Macaca mulatta: one gene and its partners. The protein of the gene in region 1 binds, or shares a complex with, the protein of each later gene. Links are inferred from orthologs where the notes say so. Each region holds a gene or a part of one and is shown in the gene's direction. Other genes may lie near its edges.

Region 1 (3,750 bases):
GTTTGGCAACACCCTCACAGACACACCCAGGATCAATACTTTGCATCCTTCAATCCAATCAAGTTGATATTCAGAATTAACCATCACAGATAGTATTGTGGGTTTTTAAATATATAAATACAAATGTTCATCTCCAGATCCATCTCCTGTGCCCTGTATTGGTACACCAAAGTGCACCATCAACAATGGCCAAATATCTTAAATATGAAATAAAATAGATAACACTATTGTATACTAGCAATTATCTTAAACGTATCTTGTGAATCAACTAATTCAATTCTTACAACTACTGCATGAATGGGTACTACTAGTATTTCCATTTAACAGATCAGGAAACGGCCACAGAATGTGAAGTTACTTGCCCCAATCATCCATAAATAATCAAAGGACTCAAGATTCAAACGTAAGTAGTCCAACTGCAGTGTTTTTATTCTTAATTCTCACACTTTGCCTCCAGAAAGGAGTGGAAGCACAGCACCCTAAAACTGTAATAGAGAAGTGTGTGGAGAAATCAGGCCTGGTTTATGAAAGATTTGATAACATAAAGATATTCTTGTTTTAGAAAGAGAGTTTCCAAAATAGTAAGTAGTTGAACTTTTACGTTTTGTTACTAGTGAAAAGTGAAGTTTAAAGAAACAATTTGTTTGATGCCCTAGTTCTGTATGCTGTACAAACTGCTACTTCCTACTCAGCCAGGCAATCTCCTTATTCTCAGGTCATACCAGTTGGTACCTTAACTTAAAAGACAGGCAACATAGTCTCTACAGAATTATTTTTTCCTCATTATTTCACTCTATTTATGATCTAATATTCTCCCATTCTCTTGGCTTGGATGTCTTGGAATTTATTAGGCACTTGACTCTTGGTCAAACTCTTATAAAAAAAAGTCTCAAGAAAATCTCTCACTTAAGATTTTCAAGGAAAGTGACAACTGACTACTAAAAAAAAAAAAAAATTCCCAAAATGCAGTGAAATACTTTTAGATTAAAGTAAATTTGCCTAGACCCTAAACACTGCTAGGCTGCCAGTCAGCAGCGTGGATGTTAACTCGCTGGCGCGCATCTGTATGAACTACAATTCCCATCGTACACCGCGCCATTTCACCGCTAAACTACAATTATGCTTTCGTCATTTCCGTCAGCACAGGTGCTGGATTTCGGACTTTGTAGTTCATGCCAACTTCTTTTTAGTCGCCATTTTGATAAGAATACAGTGTGCCTGGATCGACTGCTTTGACTCTGGCATTATGATATGGTATCTGAAATAAATTAAAAGGATAACGCGTCAAGCCAATTGAGCGTCAAGTTTTTATGTATTTCAGTATCTGCCTTGTTCCTACTGTCGGTGCTCGGGAAGAGGAAGTGACGTACATCCGGTGTAATGGCGGCGCGGTGCAGCTTTAGGTAATTATCGAACTCCGCGGAGTCCCCGTAGGCACCGAAGCGGAGCGGGGGTGGCGGGTTGCCGGGTTGGGTGGGAAGTGAAAGACCCTGAGGAGTGGGTGCGGGCTCACTGATACGGCTGTGAGCGGCATTGGAGTGTGCGTGGGTCTTCCCGCCACGCTCGGGCCCGCGAGAGGGGTGTGAGAGTGGCTGGGTCCGAGGAGTCCAAGCGGGTGGGGAGCGAATGGGCTGCGGTGAACTGACTGACTGCCTGAGCGGACCGGCTGACCTTCCTTGTGAGGTTCCTGCAGCTGTCTGAAGTCCTGCACCAACGCTGGTGCTCTGTTGTTTCGTGTGCAGTGTGTTTTATACTTAGAGCCTCTGGAGTCCATTGGGCTTGCCAAAGCCCCTTTCCCAGTGCCTGGGGAGTGGGATTAATGAGCTCTAGTTGATTAAAAGTTAGTTGAAGTACTTGCACTCTTATGCCTCTTTCCGGCGTTATATCCCTTTGGCTATTTGTTTTACGTTTCATTAGCGGTTTCTTTTTCATTTATTTGCCCTGTAAATACTGATAGTTTCTGGAGTTTAGTTTTGAAGACGCTTCGCTTCTCTTGTGTCCTCTTCACCTGTCATTCTTGATCCTTACATAACTTGAACTATCTCCAATGAGGTAATAACTGCTAAACTTGGGTGTCCAGACTCCACCTCTCTAAGGAGCTTTGGGTCCTGTAACACAGCATTATAGAACGGAAATATAATCGTTAATTTCACTGAGTTTAACTGCAAAAACTACCATACCTATTTCCACTTAATCCTAACAATTCTTTTGAGGTAATTGGAGAAGGCAGGATTTGGAGAAAGGCTATTCTAGATGCAAGAATTAGGTAAGAGTTTCCTTTGCATTTTTGGATGTGCAGAGACTCGAAATAGCAGATAAACAAATTGGGTCCTCAGCAGATCAGTTATCCTACCTCTTATCCGTATTTAGACTTATCTTCTTGTAGGATTGCTTGTGAATTCAGGAGTTAACACAGATTATCCTACTATGCAAGGGCAGATTTAAAATTGACATTAAAAGTGTGGTTTTGACCAGGAGAGGAGAAGCCTTGTTACAGGCCTTATCAGTAGGTTGAGGAAAGCTACTTTTGTTGGTCCTGGGTGATGGACTAGTAGACCAAAGATTTCAGTTTTATTTAGCTATTATTAGGTCTGTCACTTGGAGCAAGTTAAAGTCTCTATTATATATAGTCAGCTTCATCATCTGAAAACATGTAGGTAATAATACAATACCTGCCTCACTGTGTTGTCTTTTTTTGAGTATAAAGAAAATAATGCAGATGAGGCACTGAGCACAGTGCCTGATATACAGTGTTAGCTTTGTATTATTGTAAATTGCTACTATGATACAGTTGATGAGTTCTGTCTGTGCCTCAGTTCTTGCCCTCTGGGTCTGAGTGTTGCCTTTCCACCTTTAAGTGTCCTTCCAGGTTTTTTTTTTTTTTTTTGAGACGGAGTCTCACTCTGTCGCCCAGGCTGGAGTGCAGTGGCGGATCTTGGCTCGCTGCAAGCTCCGCCTTTCGAGTTCACACCATTCTCCTGCCTCAGGCTCCCGAGTAGCTGGGACTACAGGCGCCAGCCACTACGCCCTGCTAATTTTTTTTATTTTTAGTAGAGACGGGGTTTCACCATGTTAGCCAGGATGGTGTCTATCTCCTGACCTCGTGATCCACCCACCTCAGCCTCCCAAAGTGCTGGGATTACAGGGTGAGCCGCTGCGCTCGGCCAGTGCCCTTCTAGTTTTAAGTGTCCATGCCACTTTTATGGAGTCTTACCCAACTCAATTGACTGGGGCTCTGAGACCGTCTTGGTTATAAGTTAAAGGCCAAGAACTTTGATCTAATACCCTGGTCTAGTGGTTCCAAAAATGTGGTCTCCTGAATCAGCAACATCTCTTTGAAGCTTATTAGCAATGTAAATTACTGGGCTTCACCCAGTTCTGTTGAATCAGAAACGTAGAAATGCAGGCCCAACAGTTTTTTTTTTTTTTTTTTTTTTTTTTTTTTTTTTTTGCGCCAAAGCATTCGAGTGATTCTCATGCCAGTTAGTTTGAAAACTTCTGCTCTAGCCCATCTTTTAGGGGCATGCTATGGTTCATCCTCCCCCTGTCCTCAGAATCAGGTTTGTTTCCCTCCTTGCTCCAAAGTACTTGATCCATGGCCAGCCAGTATTTATTATTATGCCACCACATCCTTCCCTGCTTTGGATAGATTACCTCCAATCACTTTTTGGAGTTCTGACACTTCCTAGACTACCTGGTTTTTCTAAGCGAGCTTTCTTAGCTCTATTAGCTTTCCCAGCTGTTGAATTT
Region 2 (3,650 bases), on another chromosome or scaffold:
GTTCAGGCTACAATGCAGTGGCGCCATCTCTGCTCACTGCAACCTTCACTTCCTGGGTTCAAGCGATTCTCCTGCCTCAGCCTCCCAAGTAGCTGGGATTACAGGCATGCACTACCACACCTGGCTAATTTTTGTATTTTTAGTAGAGACGGGGTTTCACAATGTTGGCCAGGCTGGGCTCGAACTCCTGACCGACCTCAAGTGATCTGCCCCCCTTGCTCTCCCAAAGTGCTGGGATTACAGGCGTGAGCCACCATGCCCACCCTATAAGACTTGTTTCTGCTGCCTCTCATGCTCAGTGGCTTGTTTCCATTTCCTTGTGTGTGTCTAGTATTCTTTAGTATTTGAGCCCATGCTTAGAGCTCAAATCTGTTTTTTTTTCTTACCCCACTTTGGAGATTTTTTTCTCATTGGAGATTTTGCCTTGCTTATTGACAGCCCAACAATACATTAAAAATTTAATAAGTATCTAGTTAAATTATAGTGGGAACATCTCTCCAAGTATTTCATCTGCCAAGTCTATATATAGAAATATCTGGTCTTATTGTGAAACTTGCCCCTTCTCTTTTTTCCTCTCTCATTTAACAATATATTAGATATCTTTCTATGTCATGATCTCTTTCTTTTTCATGGCTGGGAAGTATTCCTTTGTATGAATAGATAATAATTTAACCATTCTACCGTTGCAGGACATTAAGTTGTTTCCAGTTTTTTTATTATGAAATTACAGTAAACACATTGATATGTATGTGTTTGTGCGTTTCTGCTAGTATTTCTGTAGGATTGATTTCTATAAGTGGCATTAGTGGTTGATGAGATTTTGATTAAATACTGTCAAATTGACCTAAATAGGCTATGCTAGTTTATACCTGTACCAGCAGTGACTGAAAATACCCATTTTCCTGTGCCTTCCTTTTTGACTGTAGATATTATTGATCTTTTTAATTTTACTAATTCAAGGAGAGAAAATTCATGTTTCTTTTAGAATTTGATGCATTGGTTATTAGGTTAAGCATATCTTCATGCATTTATTGGACATGTATTTCTTTTTTCTTTTTTTTTTTTTTTTTTTTTGAGACAGGGTCTCTGTAGCCCAGGCTGGACTGCAGTGGTATGATCATAGCTCACTTCAGCCTCGACCTCCTGGGCTCAAGTGATCCTCCCACCTCAAATTCTAGAATAGCTGTAATTTTAGATTACAGGTGCATGCTGTCATGCCTGGCTGATTTTTGTATTTTTTGTAGAAGTGGGGTTTTGCCGTGTTGCTCAGGCTGGTCTAAACTCCTGAGCTTAAGCAATTCTCCTGCCGTGGCTTCCCAAAGTGCTGGGATTACAGGCGTCACCCACTGTGCTCGGCCCTTGGACATTTATTTCTTCTGAAAATTGTTCATTTTTCTTTCCTTTTTTATTTTTGAGACAGAGTCTTGCTCTGTCATCCAGGCTGGAGTACAGTGGTGGAATCTCAGCTCACTGCAACCTCTGCCTCCTAGGTTCAAGCAATCCTCCCACCTTAGCCTTCTGAGGAACTGGAACTACAGGCATGCACCACTGTGCCCAGCTGATTTGTGTATTTTTAGTAGAGACGGGGTTTCACCATGTTGCCCAGGCTAGTCTCAAACTCCTGGGCTCAAGCGATCCATTGCCTTGGCCTCCCAAAGTGCTGGGATTACAAGTGTGAGCCACTGGCACCTGGCCATTTGTCAGTTTCTCTGTTGAATTGTTTCTTATTGATATAGTAATATACAGTAGTCCCCCCTTATCTGTGGTTTCACTTTCTACATCTGAAAATATTAAATGGAAAACTCCAGAAAAAAACAACTCATAAAGTTTAAATTGGTCACTATCCTGAGTCATTTGGTGTAAACTTGTGCTGTCCCACCAGGAACATGAATCCTTCCTTTGTCTGGTGTATCTGTGCTGTATGCGCTACCTGCCTGTCCGTCACTTAGTTGTCATCCTGGTTATCAGATAACTGTTGCAGTTTGCAGTGCTTGGATTCAAGTACCTTTATTTTATTTAGTAGTGGCCCCAAAGTGCAATAGCAGTGATTTTGGCAATTAGGAAGGCTAAAGAGAAGCTGTAAAGTGCTTCCTAAACGAAAAGATGAAAGTTCTCAACTTAAAAAAAACTTTTCAAATCCTATATTGAAGTTGCTAAGATCAATAGTAAGAATGAATCTTCTATTGTGAAATTGTGGGGAAGGAAAAAGAAATTCATGCTAGTTTTGCTGTTGTATTTCATACTGTAAAAGTTACAGCCACAGTTCATAAGTGCTTAGTTAAGATGGAAAAGGCATTAAATTTATGGGTGGAAGATGTGAACAGAAATGTGTTACGTTTGATGGCAGTCAGGTTCAGTACTATCCGTGGTTTCAGCCGTCCACCATACTTAGAATGTATCCCCCTAGGACTACTGTCTGGTTTGTGTTGCAGACATTTTCTACCAGGCTGATTTTTTTTCTTCTTTTCTTTTTTTTGAGAAGGAGTTTCACTCTTGTTGCCCAGGCTGGAGTGCAATGGCGCGATCTCGGCTTACTGCAACCTCTGCCTCCCAGGTTCGAGCGATTCTCCTGCCTCAGCCTCCTGAGTAGCTGGGATTACAGGCATGTGCCACCACAGCCGGCTAATTTTGTATTTTTAGAAGAGATGGAGTTTCACCATGTTGGTCAGGCTGATCTGGAACTCCTGACCTCAGGTGATCCGCCTGTCTCGGCCTCCCAAAGTGCTGGGATTATAGGCATGAGCCACCGTGCCTGGCCTAGGCTGATTTTCAATGCTGTCATTTTCAAGAAATCATGGTATGTTTCTCCATTTCTTCAGATCTTTAAAAAGCCTCTATTTTAATGAATTTTTACAGATTTCTTCTTATATGTCTTTCATGTTTCTTAAGTTTATTCCTAGGTATTGAATTTTTTTTTAACTGTGGAAGTAGGATTTAAAAACTGTTATATTTTCATTTTTGGCATGAGAGAAAGCTAGCTTCTTTCTTTACATATCTTGTACCTGACTACTTAACTCTTAGTTCTATTTTCTGTATATTCTTCCCTGTAAGTTTTCCCATAGTTACCTTTGTTGTGAAAAGGAGGAAATTATTTTTCTTTCTCCTTTCTGGACTAAATAGTCTCTTGTTTTTAGGGCTCTGGACCTGGGCTTGTGCTATTAGGGCTATGGTTGAATAGCAGCATGGGATATCATTTTTGTGGCCTTGCAAGGGAACATAACCACCAGACATAATCTTATTTCTGTGGGAAATGTTGTTCTAAATGCCAAACTCCAAATTACAAAAGACCTTTTGAATATACCTCATTCAAAAAGAACAAGATTTGGGCTGTCTTTAGATTGTGCACTGTGTTAAAATTACAGAATCTGTTTGAATTTCAGGAGCGTGAGGATCATCCCCGGAGAGGACGGGAGGATCGGCAGCACAGGGAACCATCAGAACAGGAACACAGGAGAGCTAGGAAAAGTGACCGGTACAGACACCGGGGCCATTCCCACCAAAGGAGAACGTCTAACGAGAGACCTGGGAGTGGGCAGGGTCAGGGACGGGAGCGAGACACTCAGAACCTGCAGGCTCAGGAAGAAGAGCGGGAGTTTTATAATGCCAGGCGACGGGAGCATCGCCAGAGGAATGACATTGGTGGTGGCGGT
Region 3 (3,650 bases), on another chromosome or scaffold:
TTCTTCCTTCCCAAAGATGTATGTTGATGAAGTCTTAGTCTGGTATTCTGAACTCAGTATTCCAGAGTTTTTCCCTCTGGAAAGTCCTCACAGAAGGTGGGCTGTGGGGTGGCAAGTAGAACTTGGTTGCAGGGTGGTGGCAAAGTGCTCTAGGCTGGCAGAGACCTGGTGAGCTAAATGCCTGGTTACTTTTGTAGCTCGTGGCCTCAGGTGAACTGATGAGTTCCAAGAAGAAGGATTTGCACCCTCGGGATATTGATGCATTTTGGCTACAGCGGCAGCTCAGTCGTTTCTATGATGATGCCATCGTGTCGCAGAAGAAGGCAGATGAAGTATTGGAGATTTTGAAGGTATGGCCAAGATAACAATAGTTGTATGTGTAGTGTATCTTGGTACATGGGGACAGTGTATGAAGTGGCAGATGGCTTTGTCCTTAGTGGTGGTGTTGCCTTCTCTCTGCAGACGGCCAGTGACGATCGGGAATGTGAGAACCAGCTGGTTCTGCTGCTTGGTTTCAACACCTTTGATTTCATTAAAGTGTTGCGGCAGCACAGGATGATGAGTGAGTATATGGTGGGCTCTTCTTGCAGAGTGAGTACATATGTGTGCGTGTGTGAGATGGAGATTCTGTTGTTTTCACAACCTAAGTGCTTGTTTCTTTTATTTTTCTTCTTTCTACTCTAAGGATGAAGGTTTTTTGCCTTACTTCCTCCTCTTCACTTTTCCTTTGTTCCTTTTGTTGTGGGTAGTTTTATACTGTACCTTGCTGGCCAGTGCACAAAGTGAAGCTGAAAAGGAAAGGATTATGGGAAAGATGGAAGCTGACCCAGAGCTATCCAAGTTCCTCTACCAGCTGCACGAAACCGAGAAGGAGGATCTGATCCGAGTAAGGACTGCGTTGGTTTATCTGTCTGATTTCTGAGCTAACAGTGGCTAGAAGATTGCAGCATGAAGCTAAATTCATATTAAAAGTGGAAGTTGAAAAAGTAATTTCTCTAAATTTTTCGGGATTTGTCAGTGCATACAGGTTAGAATCAACACATCCACATTGGTTTGGTCGTTAGACCAGTGACCTGCTGCTGTCTTTCACCAGCACTATGGGGATCTTTATTGTTTAATTGCACAGTAAATACATGGTGTTTACTAAAATAGAGTAACAGAACACATGTGCTTGCTTAACAGAACCCACACTTTTACCCCTCAGGGGTAGCCCTTGGTACTTAATTACAGAACGTCTATTTCCGGCATCCCTGTACTGCGCATTGCCCCTTTAAAGGTGTGTGTTCGCTCTGATCATTCTGGTGGTCCCCATGTAAAGCGTTGTCTTTCTGTTTGGTGACTTATTAGTGAGCACCTGTGACTCAAGTATTAGCTAAGCAGGGACAGAAAAGGACAAGAACCTGTGATACTGATGAATTGTTTTTGTGATTTTCATCTTCGTCCGCTACAGGAGGAGAGATCCCGGAGAGAGCGAGTGCGTCAGTCTCGAATGGACACAGATCTGGAAACCATGGATCTCGACCAGGGTGGAGAGGTAGGATCCAGGGCGATTTACGTCCCAGGCCTTGTTGGGTGGAAAACGCGCTTGCTCGGCTTGCTCACTTCCTTGGGGTTTTTGTCTTTCACATTCCCAGGCACTGGCTCCACGGCAGGTTCTGGACTTGGAGGACCTGGTATTTACCCAAGGGAGCCACTTTATGGCCAATAAACGCTGTCAGCTTCCTGATGGATCCTTCCGTCGCCAGCGTAAGGGCTACGAAGAGGTGCATGTGCCTGCTCTGAAGCCCAAGCCCTTTGGCTCAGAAGAAGTAAGTGAATTGCTTTCCTCAGTTCTCTGCTTAGTTCGCCTCCTGGTTTGGATTTCAACCATTGACCAGAATGTAGCTTTGTTTCATATATAGTTTATTTTAGGGCTGAAAGCTGCAACAGAATTTTCCCATTCTGATTTTGAGCCCAGGGGACAATATTGATCTCTGGACTGACCTTTAATGGAGAGTTATGCAAAGAGATTGCCAGGGAACAAAATCCTGGCAATCCCACAAAACCAGTCTGCTCAGGGATGCTGCCAACATGATACCGATGGCGCTTCTTTTCTTCTAGCAACTGCTTCCGGTGGAAAAGCTTCCAAAGTATGCCCAGGCTGGGTTTGAGGGCTTCAAAACACTGAATCGGATCCAGAGTAAGCTCTACCGTGCTGCCCTCGAGACGGATGAGAATCTGCTGCTGTGTGCTCCTACTGTAAGCGCCACCCTGCCTGCTTTTTTCTTGGGGAATATGGGTGGAGTTTCTGTTGGAAGATTGTTTTTTATTTCCACCCCACCCCCTAATTCTTTGTCCTTTGATGAAAGAGAGGTTAAATGGTAGGATAAAGTACCCAGGAAAAATTCTATTCTCTGTTTGGGAAATAAGCCCGTGGAAGTTAGGGCAGTGAGAATAATCAGGTGAACAGGCGTTCTCATCCCTGACCTCTCCCGTAGGGTGCTGGGAAGACCAACGTGGCCCTGATGTGCATGCTCCGAGAGATTGGGAAACACATCAACATGGACGGCACCATCAATGTGGATGACTTCAAGATTATCTACATTGCCCCCATGCGCTCCTTGGTGCAGGAGATGGTGGGCAGCTTTGGAAAGGTGAGGGAGTAGAACTTTCCTCCAGAGGATACGGGGCGCAGCTGTCAAAGTGTTGTGGCCAGGCCTGGACCTCACCGCTTTTTGTATTGGGGCATCTCTGGAATGCCTCCTGGGATTGTTTTTATTTTTTATTTTTCTCTCCCCATTTCCAAGATGGAACTGAACCCAGGTACAGAGTTTCTGAAGTAAGACTGTCCTGAGCCATCTTTTACAAGGGTTAGCATCTTTCTTTCATCCTCTCCATGGCAATTTCCTGCAGTTGGTATCATTTGTGTTATTGACGTATTTATGAAACATCAAATGGATGTGGATAATAATAGACCTAGTGGTGTTACTCTAGGTCTTGTTATCTACAAGTTGCCATTTCTTCCTCTTGTGTACAGAGTTCCCAGAGATCTTTTTTTTTTTTTTGAGACAGGGTCTTGCTGTCACCCAAGCTAGAGTGCAGTGGTACAATCATGGCTCACTGCAGCCTTGACCTCCCAGGCTCAAGTGATCCTCCCACTTCAGCCTTCCTAGTAGCTGGGATTATAGACATGTGCTACCAGATTAGCTAATTTTTATGTGTTTTGTAGGGACAGGGTTTCACCATGGTCTAGAATTCCTGGGCTCAAGCATTCTGCCCTCACTGGCCTCTGAAAGTGCTAGGATTACAGGCGTGAGCCACCGTGCCTGGCCCCGAGAGATCTTTTGTCTGCTTTATTTGCCTGAGTTAAGTTTCTGTTTGTTTGAGGAAGATATGCTCATAAGATCTGATTCGCCTTGTGTTCACCTGATGGGTTGATGCCTGCTCCCAAGGCCCTACACTCCAACCGCCCAAACAGAAAGCGTGGTGTCCAGGCCCCTTCAAGCACTCCTGCCTGATGTAGTTTTCCTCCCACAGCGTCTGGCCACTTACGGCATCACTGTTGCTGAACTGACTGGGGACCACCAGTTGTGCAAAGAAGAGATCAGTGCCACTCAGATCATCGTCTGCACCCCCGAGAAGTGGGACATCATCACCCGCAAGGGTGGCGA

The links.
Region 2: CWC22 (region 1) and SNIP1 share a complex: the UniProt entries of both Homo sapiens proteins name them as parts of the minor spliceosome. The link is inferred for Macaca mulatta from reciprocal best matches to the Homo sapiens genes CWC22 and SNIP1.
Region 3: CWC22 (region 1) and SNRNP200 share a complex: the UniProt entries of both Homo sapiens proteins name them as parts of the minor spliceosome. The link is inferred for Macaca mulatta from reciprocal best matches to the Homo sapiens genes CWC22 and SNRNP200.

What each region holds. Positions count from the first base shown.
Region 1 is NC_133417.1:84,940,166-84,943,915, reverse strand, and holds the start of CWC22 (pre-mRNA-splicing factor CWC22 homolog), read left to right. Parts: upstream 1-1,363; 5' UTR 1,364-1,403; intron 1,404-3,750. UniProt on the Homo sapiens protein: Required for pre-mRNA splicing as component of the spliceosome. As a component of the minor spliceosome, involved in the splicing of U12-type introns in pre-mRNAs. Promotes exon-junction complex (EJC) assembly.
Region 2 is NC_133406.1:203,254,576-203,258,225, forward strand, and holds part of SNIP1 (smad nuclear-interacting protein 1), read left to right. Parts: intron 1-3,380; coding exon 3,381-3,650. UniProt on the Homo sapiens protein: Required for pre-mRNA splicing as component of the spliceosome. As a component of the minor spliceosome, involved in the splicing of U12-type introns in pre-mRNAs. Down-regulates NF-kappa-B signaling by competing with RELA for CREBBP/EP300 binding.
Region 3 is NC_133418.1:5,031,725-5,035,374, reverse strand, and holds part of SNRNP200 (U5 small nuclear ribonucleoprotein 200 kDa helicase), read left to right. Parts: intron 1-197; coding exon 198-350; intron 351-462; coding exon 463-562; intron 563-749; coding exon 750-886; intron 887-1,450; coding exon 1,451-1,534; intron 1,535-1,634; coding exon 1,635-1,808; intron 1,809-2,100; coding exon 2,101-2,238; intron 2,239-2,477; coding exon 2,478-2,633; intron 2,634-3,516; coding exon 3,517-3,650. UniProt on the Homo sapiens protein: Catalyzes the ATP-dependent unwinding of U4/U6 RNA duplices, an essential step in the assembly of a catalytically active spliceosome. Plays a role in pre-mRNA splicing as a core component of precatalytic, catalytic and postcatalytic spliceosomal complexes.